Sus scrofa: one gene and its partner. The protein of the gene in region 1 purifies or fractionates together with the protein of each later gene. This does not show direct contact. Links are inferred from orthologs where the notes say so. Each region holds a gene or a part of one and is shown in the gene's direction. Other genes may lie near its edges.

Evidence for each region.
Region 2: the proteins of DHX9 (region 1) and HNRNPA1 purify together in Homo sapiens (affinity purification with mass spectrometry; 7 studies listed by BioGRID and IntAct, with this or other methods). This does not show direct contact. The link is inferred for Sus scrofa from reciprocal best matches to the Homo sapiens genes DHX9 and HNRNPA1.

What each region holds. Positions count from the first base shown.
Region 1 is NC_010451.4:124,139,397-124,145,589, forward strand, and holds the start of DHX9 (ATP-dependent RNA helicase A), read left to right. Parts: upstream 1-2,532; 5' UTR 2,533-2,690; intron 2,691-5,577; exon of another isoform or gene 5,578-5,583; 5' UTR 5,584-5,605; coding exon 5,606-5,716; intron 5,717-6,193. UniProt on the Homo sapiens protein: Multifunctional ATP-dependent nucleic acid helicase that unwinds DNA and RNA in a 3' to 5' direction and that plays important roles in many processes, such as DNA replication, transcriptional activation, post-transcriptional RNA regulation, mRNA translation and RNA-mediated gene silencing.
Region 2 is NC_010447.5:19,483,780-19,487,976, forward strand, and holds the start of HNRNPA1 (heterogeneous nuclear ribonucleoprotein A1), read left to right. Parts: upstream 1-1,397; coding exon 1,398-1,412; intron 1,413-1,957; coding exon 1,958-2,074; intron 2,075-2,367; coding exon 2,368-2,514; intron 2,515-2,644; coding exon 2,645-2,855; intron 2,856-2,946; coding exon 2,947-3,039; intron 3,040-3,124; coding exon 3,125-3,217; intron 3,218-3,326; coding exon 3,327-3,401; intron 3,402-3,675; coding exon of another isoform or gene 3,676-3,834; intron 3,835-4,197. UniProt on the Homo sapiens protein: Involved in the packaging of pre-mRNA into hnRNP particles, transport of poly(A) mRNA from the nucleus to the cytoplasm and modulation of splice site selection.

The sequences.
Region 1 (6,193 bases):
CTGGAAACTTCCGTATGCTGCAGGTGTGGCCCTGAAAAGACCAAAAAAAAAAAAAAAAAAAATTAGATATATGCCTTAAGATAACTTTTTTTCCCTTTTTCCTTTTCACTATCCCTGGGCCCTTAAAGTCTATATATATCCACTATCCAATTCATTTCTTATAACTGCTGCATGGGATTCATTGGTTAACATCCATTACCTTTTATCTATCAAAGGAGTTCTCAAGCTGCCTCCAACTCCAGGCCAACACAAATAATATAATAAACATATCTTACTCAAGAATTTCTTGAGATACATATACCAACTAAAAGAAAAAAATACACTGTGAGGGTTGTGAGGTATGTTTTATTCAGGGTCTTACTGGGGATTGCAGCCTGGGAGACAGCCTCTCAGCTCTGAGAAACTGCTCCAAAGATGTAGGGAAGGAGCCAGTATATTTATGATTTTTTGGGGGCTAGGTAAATACCTGCAGTCGGACATCAAAAAATTATTGCTAATAGAGTTCCCACTCTGGTTCAGTGAGTTAAGAACCTGATATGGTGTCTGTGAGAATGTGGGTTTATTCCCTGGCCTGACTAGATGGGTTAAGGATCCACTGTTGCCCTGTCTGTGGCATAGGCCTGCAGCTGCAGCTCGGATTCACTCCCTAGCCTGGGAACTTCCATTTGCCACAGGTGGGGCTGTGAAAAAAAAAAAATCACTGATTATCTCAAAGAATAGACTGCTCAAGTTAAGGATTTTAATACTTTTCTCTATATGGGAAGATGCAAGAATCTGGGGTCACTGAGATTCTTCCTTAGATAGACATCTTAACTACCTAGAGGCCTGCATATCCAAAGTACAGAATAGAGTACTTGCTGTTTTTCCATCCTGAATTCCCCCTCGGGACACTTTGTCAGTGGGCCATGGGTGACTGCAGTGGCTAATGACTTTGTAGAACTGGAATGGTGGGCAATATTTTTTGTTTAAAAAATACATACATATGTATGTATGTGTGTATATACAGATACATCAAGAAACAGACTTGTTTGATTTTATCCACCCTATTTGACTAAATAGTACCTTACTTCTTTTCAGAATGGTTGTACTGCTGAGCCACAGCAGGAACTTCCCAACTTATTTTTTGTTTGTTTGTTTTTTGGCTGTGCCCCTGGCATGTGGAAGTTCCGAGGCCAGGGATTAACCCACACCACAGCAGCAGTGCTGGATCCTTAACCTGCTGAACCACCAGGGAACTCATGGAGAATGTTTTGATGCTTCATCTGCAAATGTTAAGGGAGATCTTAGAAGGTACTAGTTGCCAAGGACAACCTACAAAGGTAAATGCCATTGCTGGCATCCAATCCCCTGGCAACTCAAGGTCCCAGATGCAAGGCCTAAATTAATAAACAACTCAGTAATAAAATTCTCTGTAATCTTTGGGAGCCAAAGATCGACCTCAGAAAATATTCTTTATACTTAATTTGTTGATGTTTTTGGTGTGTACATTATCTACTACAAAACATTTGCAATCCATTTATGTTAGTTGGGTTTCCCTTATCATGAAAACTTCCTGATTTAAGCATCCTGAGAGAGATAAGGAAACAAAGGATTAAGGTATTTCCCTGATGATTTTATTCCTAGTTGAAGAGAGCAAACATGGAGAAAATAAGTTAATGAGTAAATACGTTCCTCTGTTTAACTTAAATGTTTTAATCTGTGTTACTCTGGTTGTAGAAGAAACAGAGTTTTAAAGGGATTAATCACAGTGAGCTAGAAGAGTTAGGGGAAAAAAAGGGAAGAGGTGAAAAATAAGGATGTTAGGTACGATGGGGCCTGATACTTTACTGGTCTGGCTTCTCTGGAACAACCCCAGCTTGAAATATTTTGTATTGTTGCCTCCGTGAGAAGCACTGGAGTTCAAAAATTTAGCAGTGACTACTATAATAGTTAAGGATATAAATTACTCCGAAGACTATGAATACAAAAGGTTATCCAATTTGAGCAAAAAGAACTTTACAGTTTCTATTTATTAAACTAGTTATTACTGAGCACTTGATGTGCCAAGTACTTCATTTAGCGGCCTGAGCTGGCCAGGCAGGGTTCCCGCCTTCACCGAGCTTACTTCTATTTAGGGGATGTTAACCTTCGAGGAGCCGAATCACTACAATACCTACTGAACAACTATTGTGTGCTGGGTACTGCCCTAAGCCGCCTTCGCAAGCCATCTCATTTATTTTATTCTATTTTTTAAGCCATCTCATTTAATCACCAACAACCCTATAAAGCTACCACCTAGGATTTCCAGTTGTGTCTTTGTGGGGCACCTCATCTACCACAGGTCCCTATGACAGAAGGTGCAAAACATTCTCCAAAAACATGCGGCAGGCCCCTCCTGAGGAGGCCTCGCGCCAAAGGAGGAAGCTCCGCCCCGGCGCCGCTCTAGGGCGCGGCGGATCTCCCAGGCGACTGGACGCTGCCCGTCGCGTGGTTGCGGCAGCTCCGCCCCTCTTCCGGGCGCCCTTGGCCCCACGCTCCCCTTCTGCGCATGCGTAGCACACTGACTCCGCCTCCACAGCGTAGCGGTCGGAGCCATTTCGCCGCCGCCTCGGTGCGAGTGGTGGTGCGCTCGTCTGGTCTCCGTCGCTAAGGCCCGAGCCAGGGACGTTCCTGAGAGAGCTGTGCTCTCGGGCACAAAGAATCGGACTCCGGTAAGGGGAAGACGTCTTTGTTACCGGTTGGGACGGCGTAGGCCCCGGGGTTCTGCAGCGGGTCTTTGTTGCCTGGAGCTGGCGGCGGTGGCGGGTGGGGGAGGGGAGAGCCGCCTCGCTGGGTTCCCGGATTGCGGGTTGCGTGCTGCTTGCGACGCCGCTCCGCGCTTGCGCTGCCTGAGGCCGCCATTTGGCCCCCAGTTATTCGCGGAGGCAGGCCTAGTTTCGTCTCCGGAGCGGCCAAACCCCACTTCCTCTTCCAGCCTGCGCTTGGCGGTGGCGCTGTCGCCGTAGAGTGAAAGGGACTGAATCGGCCCGGGGTGGGGGGAGCTAAGCCCGCCAAACCGCCGCCCACGCTTAGGGCCCTTCGTTCGTCCACGCAGGCCTGCGTGCCGAAAATAGCGGGTGGTACCCTGCGGCCTCTGCGGATAGAGCAGAAAACAGGCTAGGCACAGTCCTTGCTCTTTTCTCTCAGAGGTTGGGGTCGTGGTGGGGGTGGGGAGCCGTGTGGAAACAAGTGCTGGTTTCGGTAAAAAAGCTCTTGGAGGATTTAGTGTAAAGGAAGGGCGCCATTTCCGGAAGGGTGGCGCGAGGGAAGGCTTTTCGGAGGAGGCAGACATTTGAGCCGACGTCTCGCCCAAAGGGTGGAGATTATCGACTACTAAGATGTGGAAGAAAAGCAGAACTCCCCAGGCGGAGGGGGATTAGTTAGTGTTTACTGGCAGGGATTAGAAAGAAACTGAAAGAAGGCCACGTGACTGGAATGTGGTGAGAAGAATTTAAAAGAAGATTGGATTTTAGCGTGGTTACAAAGGAAATGGGAATTATTTAGGACCTTGTTGCTGAACTCCAGCTGTTGCAGTAGTGGGAGAGGGGAGGGAAGCGAACAGATTGGAATCATGTTTGGAGGCGAAAGTGAGCCTTAGGTCAAGAGTAGATCAGGACTACCTGGGTTGGAATTTTGGGTCCCCCAATTAGAAGCTCTGTCTGTTGAGGCAAATTATTCTTTCTCTCAGTTTACTTACCTGTAATAATGCTTAGCTATACAGTGTCGTGTATGGGTTAAGTGAAGTAGTTGCTGCAATGCTCCTTAACGGATACTGATTGGTACATAATAAAGACTGCAACGGATGGTTATGGAGGATGTTGAGGGACTGGATAAGTCCCAAATGGGTGATAGGAGTAATTTGGTGGATGGTTGTGCCGCCTAAGGAGGTGGGAACACTGGGATTAGAGGGAAGAGGAACAGGTTTAGGGAGGAAATTTAAAATTGTGTTTTAACTGTGATGCCATGTTAGCATTCAGGTGGATACATAAGTGCTGCAGATGGATGAACTTGATTTTGGAGCTTTTAAAGAGAAAAGACTAAACTTTCAATGTATATTTGGATAGCATTAGTCTATAGTTAATATTTAATATGATGGCGTTAGATAAGACTAGGGAGGAAGGAATTTGATAGTATAGTCCTTATTTCATGTTTTCCATTCACCCTGAGGGCTTGTTTTTAAAATTAATTATTCATGGTTGGAATTTGTAGGTAGACATCTTCAGTTTTCCACAACTTTTCATGAATCGGTTATCCCCAGGGTTAACCTGTGACTACAGAAGAGCCTTTTTGTACTAGGGTTCAGTTTGATGAAACTAGATGTAGGTGCTAACAAAATGCACTAAACATTAACGGAAGACAGAGGCTTAATGGGGTTTCTTCCCACATCACAGCAAACAATTCTTAGCATATTTTCTCCAGTTCTGAATTTGGTCTCAGATCCCTCTGCGTGTAATTTAGACTCAGGATCCGTATCTTTTGCTATAAACTGATGTAGAGGGAGAATGCCAATCACTATGATAGGTTGCACTTAAGGAAAATGTAATAGCCTCAAATTTAATGAGTAACAAGGCCTAAAGGAAAGATTTAGCACAGAATATATTTGGACTTAATAACATTGCCTATTGCTGTGCAGATGGTCTTCTAGGAGACATAATCCAAATGAGGATAAACTCTTGGATTTATATACAAAATGATGGAAGGCTGTTTCTCCATTTATTTATTTATTTAGGCTGCCATGAGGTATCTGGAGTTCCCAGGCCAGGGATCATATCCGTGCCCTAGTTTTGACCTAGGGCACAGCTGCGGCAGTGCCTACAGTGCCGGATTCTTAATCCACCCACGGTGCTGGGCCAGGGATTGAACCTGTGATCCCAGTGACCACAGCAGGAACTTTTTTTTTTTTTTAATTAAGTTTTAAAGGAGTATAGTTGATTTACAATTTGATAATTTCTGCTGTACGACAGAATGATTCAGTGATGCATGAAAAAAAATGCACCCATTCTTTTTCAGATGACTATTTCTTAATATATTGGTTTGGTTTTGAATTTAGGCCTTCTACAGTGAGTAACTTGAAAAAGTTACTGAAACTTTCTATGTCTAGTGTCTTGCTCGTAAAAAAACTGTAAAGTAGAAGCTATAGTTTATAGTGTTACCTACTGTTGTGAGGATTAAATTAGTTAAAACACATAAAGCGAATATTGTAAAAAGTAGGACATTACATAAAATGTCTTTAAAGAAAAGACGAAAATCGCTTGTAGATATCTAAAGATAACCATTTGGGAGGATATTTCTTTTCCAGTCTTGATTTATACATACTTTTGTGTCACTCAAATCATACTTTAGTATTCTGCTTTTTCTCAAAACAAAGTCTCAGACTTTCCAATTATTTGCCTATGTCATTAAAATTTCATCACAGGCAATATTAATATTAATAGCAGCATGATAGAATATTCTGTACTTAACCTAGATTTTCAGTAAATTCTTGTTATTGATTATTTCCAGATTAGTAATTTTCAGTGTTTGCTCTTATAAATAATGCTGTTTTTAACTAACTTGTTTTCCTAGGTCTGAAGAAGACTCTTGAATCATGGGTGATGTTAAAAATTTTCTGTATGCCTGGTGTGGCAAAAGGAAGATGACTCCATCCTATGAAATTAGAGCAGTGGGGAATAAAAACAGGCAGAAATTCATGTGCGAGGTACTAAAAAATTACTGCTTACATTTATGTGACTTTTGAGGCTTGTTTTGGTTTTAAAAGAATAGTATTTTCTCTTTGGAAATGTTAATGTGTTGTACTTCAGGGCAGGGAACGTTCTTTTTGTGATTTACCTGTTATTTTATAAGATAGCCCATGAATTCTCTTAGGGCTGTTATTTTCAGGGTGTGTAGAGTATATCTTCAAAAGTTAACTTATCCTTTGATGGACTAGTGAGTTACAGGGGTTTTTTTGGTTTGATTTTTGTTATTTGGGGTTTGGGGAATATTTGTTTTTTGGTTTTGGTCTCCTTTTTTTGGCAGCCCCATGGCATATGGAGTTCCCAGGCCAGGGGTCAGATCAGAGTCACAGTTTGGACCTACTCCCCAGCTGCGGCAGTGCTAGATCCTTTAACCCACTGTCCCAGGCAGGGATTGAACCTGCATCCTGGCATTACAAAGACATTGGTGATCCCATTAT
Region 2 (4,197 bases), on another chromosome or scaffold:
GTGTGGCACGGAGGCCCACAGGTTTTGTTAAAGTCATTGTGAATAAAATAGCCCCTACGCGCCATCACAGGCATTGAATCCCCTTCCTCGCATCCCCAAATCTAAGACCTCCCTCTTTTGGAGCGCTGATTGGACGAACAGCCTGAGCGCTTTCCAGAGGCTGCTCGCCTACTGGCTCCCGATTTGGTCCATCCACCTAACCGCCCAACTCCCGCATCCCCCATTGGAGTCAAATCGTGGCCTCTTGGAGGAGCCCAACCTACCGCGCGCTTCGTGCTCATTGGCTCAGTGAGATGCTGCTCAGGAGGAGAAAGCCCGCCTCCCACATACCGATGGCCCAAGGACCGATGAGTCGGCAGCTAAGGACAGCCCCAATTGGCCTATACACTCGCCAGTCAAACTCTTCCGCTGCAAAGCTCCACAGAACCTACGGGGATAAAACATCCCGCCCCCGTTCTTCCATTGGTTGGCCGATCTCACCGCTCCCCCTTCACGAGCCCCCACCCCGAGGTCCATTCATTTCACACAATAACGGGCCCAGTTGGAGTCAGTTCAAGACCTCGTATGGGTAGGCAAGATGGTCCGCCACTTACCGGGGGTCGAGACCGATCACTCACGCTAACGCCTCGCCTGTTCCTCTGTGGTGCGGCCGGACCACAAGCCACCGCCGCCGCCGCCTTCTGCGCAACGCCAACCGCCCGCCAAAACGGATCCTTCCCTGCGCCTGCGCGACCAATCCTGGGACCCGACCCTTTCCCCGCCCATTACGCCTGCGCAAAAGGGGGCACAACTCCCGCCACTACGCAGGCGCCTTAGGTTCGCCGCTGTCTCCTGCCCGCCATTTCACGTGTTGCAAGCTCCGGGCGGAACTTCTTAGCGCGCCTGCGTAAACTCGCCATTTTACTACACATGCGCTCAGCAGGCGATCTTGCCCCCGCCCCCGTTCCGCCAAATTGTCACATGCTAGCTACTTTTTTGATACATAGTATTAAAAATGCTTTGACACAGGCGTTGAATATTCCGGACATAGCTAATTAAAAAGTTATCTCAATACCCGAAATAATTCAAATATGAATCATTGGTTGACCAGCCAATCAGTCTAGTTAAGAATAATATTACTTAGGAACCAATGGACCGGGAGGGGTTGAGACTGCGTAGAACGCCCAAACGGATGACGTTACACAGCAACGCATACGAGAGACCAATAGTGGGGGAAAGCTATGTCAAATATCCAATCAGAGCTACTCAGGGGCGGAGTCTACCAATGCCGAACGCGAGGAGGCGGGATAAAAAAGCGAGGCCGAAGGTAGGCTGGCAGACTCGTTCGTTAGATTACTCCTTTCTGCCCCCGGACGCCGCCGAGTAAGCATCGTTGTAACCTCCTCCCCACTACCGTCATGTCTAAGTCAGAGGTGAGTGAGACTCTTTTTTCATCTGCGTTTTCTTCTTCGCCGCTTGCTGAGTTTGGTAGGGTGCAGTCTGGTTTGGCTGCTTGCACCAGCCTTTTCGGCAGTTCTTCGGTCGCTGCCGGGGCCTACCCCTCCCTGAGTTCAGGTCGCCATTTTGTCCTCGTCGCCATGAGGCTGTCGTCGTGCAATCCTTGGTTATCACGCTGCTCTCGTTCTTTTTTGCAATGCTCGTGGACACATTCGGTCTGTTTTTCATCCTTGTCCTAGTGGACGACTTTCTTAAAGAGTAGCTGTAGTCCAATTTTGGCGATGCACGCCCTCCCAGTCCTTTTGTTGCGCGTGCGTCGTAGGGAGAGTAAGGGGCGCATGCGCTCGCCGCTTCCCAGCCCCCAACATACCGCCTCCCCAGATGGGGAGAAGCACGTGGCTTACAGCGACCCGAGGGAACAATAAAAGCTTCGTACGTTGCTACCTGGTGTTGCTTCTTGTAGCGGGGAGCTTGTTTGCGTTATAGCCCTATTTAACGCTTTTTTTGCCCCTACTTCTAGTCTCCCAAAGAGCCCGAACAGCTGCGGAAGCTCTTCATCGGAGGTTTGAGCTTTGAAACAACCGATGAGAGTCTGAGGAGCCATTTTGAGCAATGGGGAACGCTCACAGACTGTGTGGTAAGACTTGGAAGAGACAAAAGGCCTTAGAGCTAGTTGTTTTTCTTGGCTTATCTCGCTGTCGTTGCTGTTTGAATGCTTATGAAGATTCCTATTGACTTTATAGCTTACTTGACAAAGGAAGGTGTGGCTTCATAGCTGAAAAGCTCCCAATTGTTAGGTTTAAGGGGTGGGGGCGGTGGTCATTGAAGAGCTTCGTTTAGAGGGTTGGTAGAAAGTTTTCCATTGCCTTAGTCAAGGTAGAAAAGGCTGTAACTTCTGGTGTCTTACCATGTGCTAAATAAACATTAAAGGTAATGAGGGACCCAAACACCAAGCGCTCCAGAGGTTTCGGGTTTGTCACGTATGCCACTGTGGAGGAGGTGGATGCAGCCATGAATGCAAGGCCGCACAAGGTGGATGGAAGAGTTGTGGAACCAAAGAGGGCCGTCTCAAGAGAAGTAAGTGATGTTTTTCTTGTGTTTCATCGACTGGAAATGTTCGATTAGCAGGATTCACTCACATTAAGGGGATGTAACAGACTTAGTATTAACATGGTCTTAGGATTGTTACTATTTTCTCCCCCTTTAGGATTCTCAAAGACCTGGTGCCCACTTAACTGTGAAAAAGATTTTTGTTGGTGGCATTAAAGAAGACACTGAAGAACATCACCTAAGAGATTATTTTGAACAGTATGGGAAAATCGAAGTGATTGAAATCATGACGGACAGGGGCAGTGGCAAAAAGAGAGGTTTTGCTTTTGTAACTTTTGATGACCATGACTCCGTAGACAAGATTGTCAGTAAGTAGCAGGTGGTTGGCATTCGCTAAGAGTTCTGAAATCCATTTGTGTCCTAAACTCTGAGATGGTGTCTTACTTTCAAATTTTTCAGTTCAGAAATACCACACTGTGAATGGCCACAACTGTGAAGTGAGGAAAGCCCTATCCAAGCAAGAGATGGCTAGTGCTTCATCCAGCCAAAGAGGTGAGTTTGTTGCTTAATTAAACCTTAAGCATCATTTTGAATGATTTTAACCGGTACAATTTAACGTTAACATTTTTTTCTTCAGGTCGAAGTGGTTCTGGAAACTTTGGTGGTGGTCGTGGAGGTGGTTTTGGTGGAAATGACAACTTTGGTCGTGGGGGAAACTTTAGTGGTCGAGGTATGTATGGTTTTTTATTATTTTAACGCTTCTTAGAATTTAGGCTTAGAAGGGTGTGATTTGTATGCGATCCACATACTTCAAACCTGGCTTTTAAATTCTGTTCCAGGTGGCTTTGGTGGCAGTCGTGGTGGTGGTGGATATGGTGGCAGTGGGGATGGCTATAATGGATTTGGTAATGACGGTAAGTTTTTTTGTTTTTACTGTTAAAATTTTGTGTGTGCGTGTGTGGGTTTTTTTAGTTCGTTTTGTTGTTGGATTTTTTTGTTTTTTAAGAAACTACAGGTAAAAAGTTTGACTACTTTTAGAATAGGCTAGTAGATACTAAAACTTTAGTGCATGATAAGTTCAAGTTTGACTCTTACAGCATGTTGTGAGCCGGCCTTTAGCCATCATGCTTGCACAGAATTTGAATGTTGAATACTTGTGTCTTATTGAGAAGAATTGTATTCTTGTAGGTGGTTATGGAGGAGGCGGCCCTGGTTACTCTGGAGGAAGCAGAGGCTATGGAAGTGGTGGACAGGGTTATGGAAACCAGGGCAGTGGCTATGGCGGGAGTGGCAGCTATGACAGCTATAACAACGGAGGAGGCGGAGGCGGCTTTGGCGGTGGTAGTGGTAGGTATCCAGTGATCCAAGTACTTGGTGCAAATAGCTAGCTTAGCCATATGGGAACTTGATGCTCTCTAGGCATAATGTGTTTTACTGCATGGTACTTTCTTTTAATGGGCTTGCAATGCTACCTCCTCCTAGCTTTAAGCTGGGGCCGCCTCACTCCCAAATAGATTAAGGGGGATAGTGGTGCCTACAGTTAATCGGGATTAGGTTAGCTTTTATTTAGGCACTTAGTTGATGTATCCAGCATGTGTTTGCGGTGCCCCTGGATGGGTAACAACAGCCTTCGAGGCTAGAGACTATACTACTTGCTCTACCATGGTGAGTCAGGGGTAAATTTCTAGCTACTGGATTATTCAACTGAAT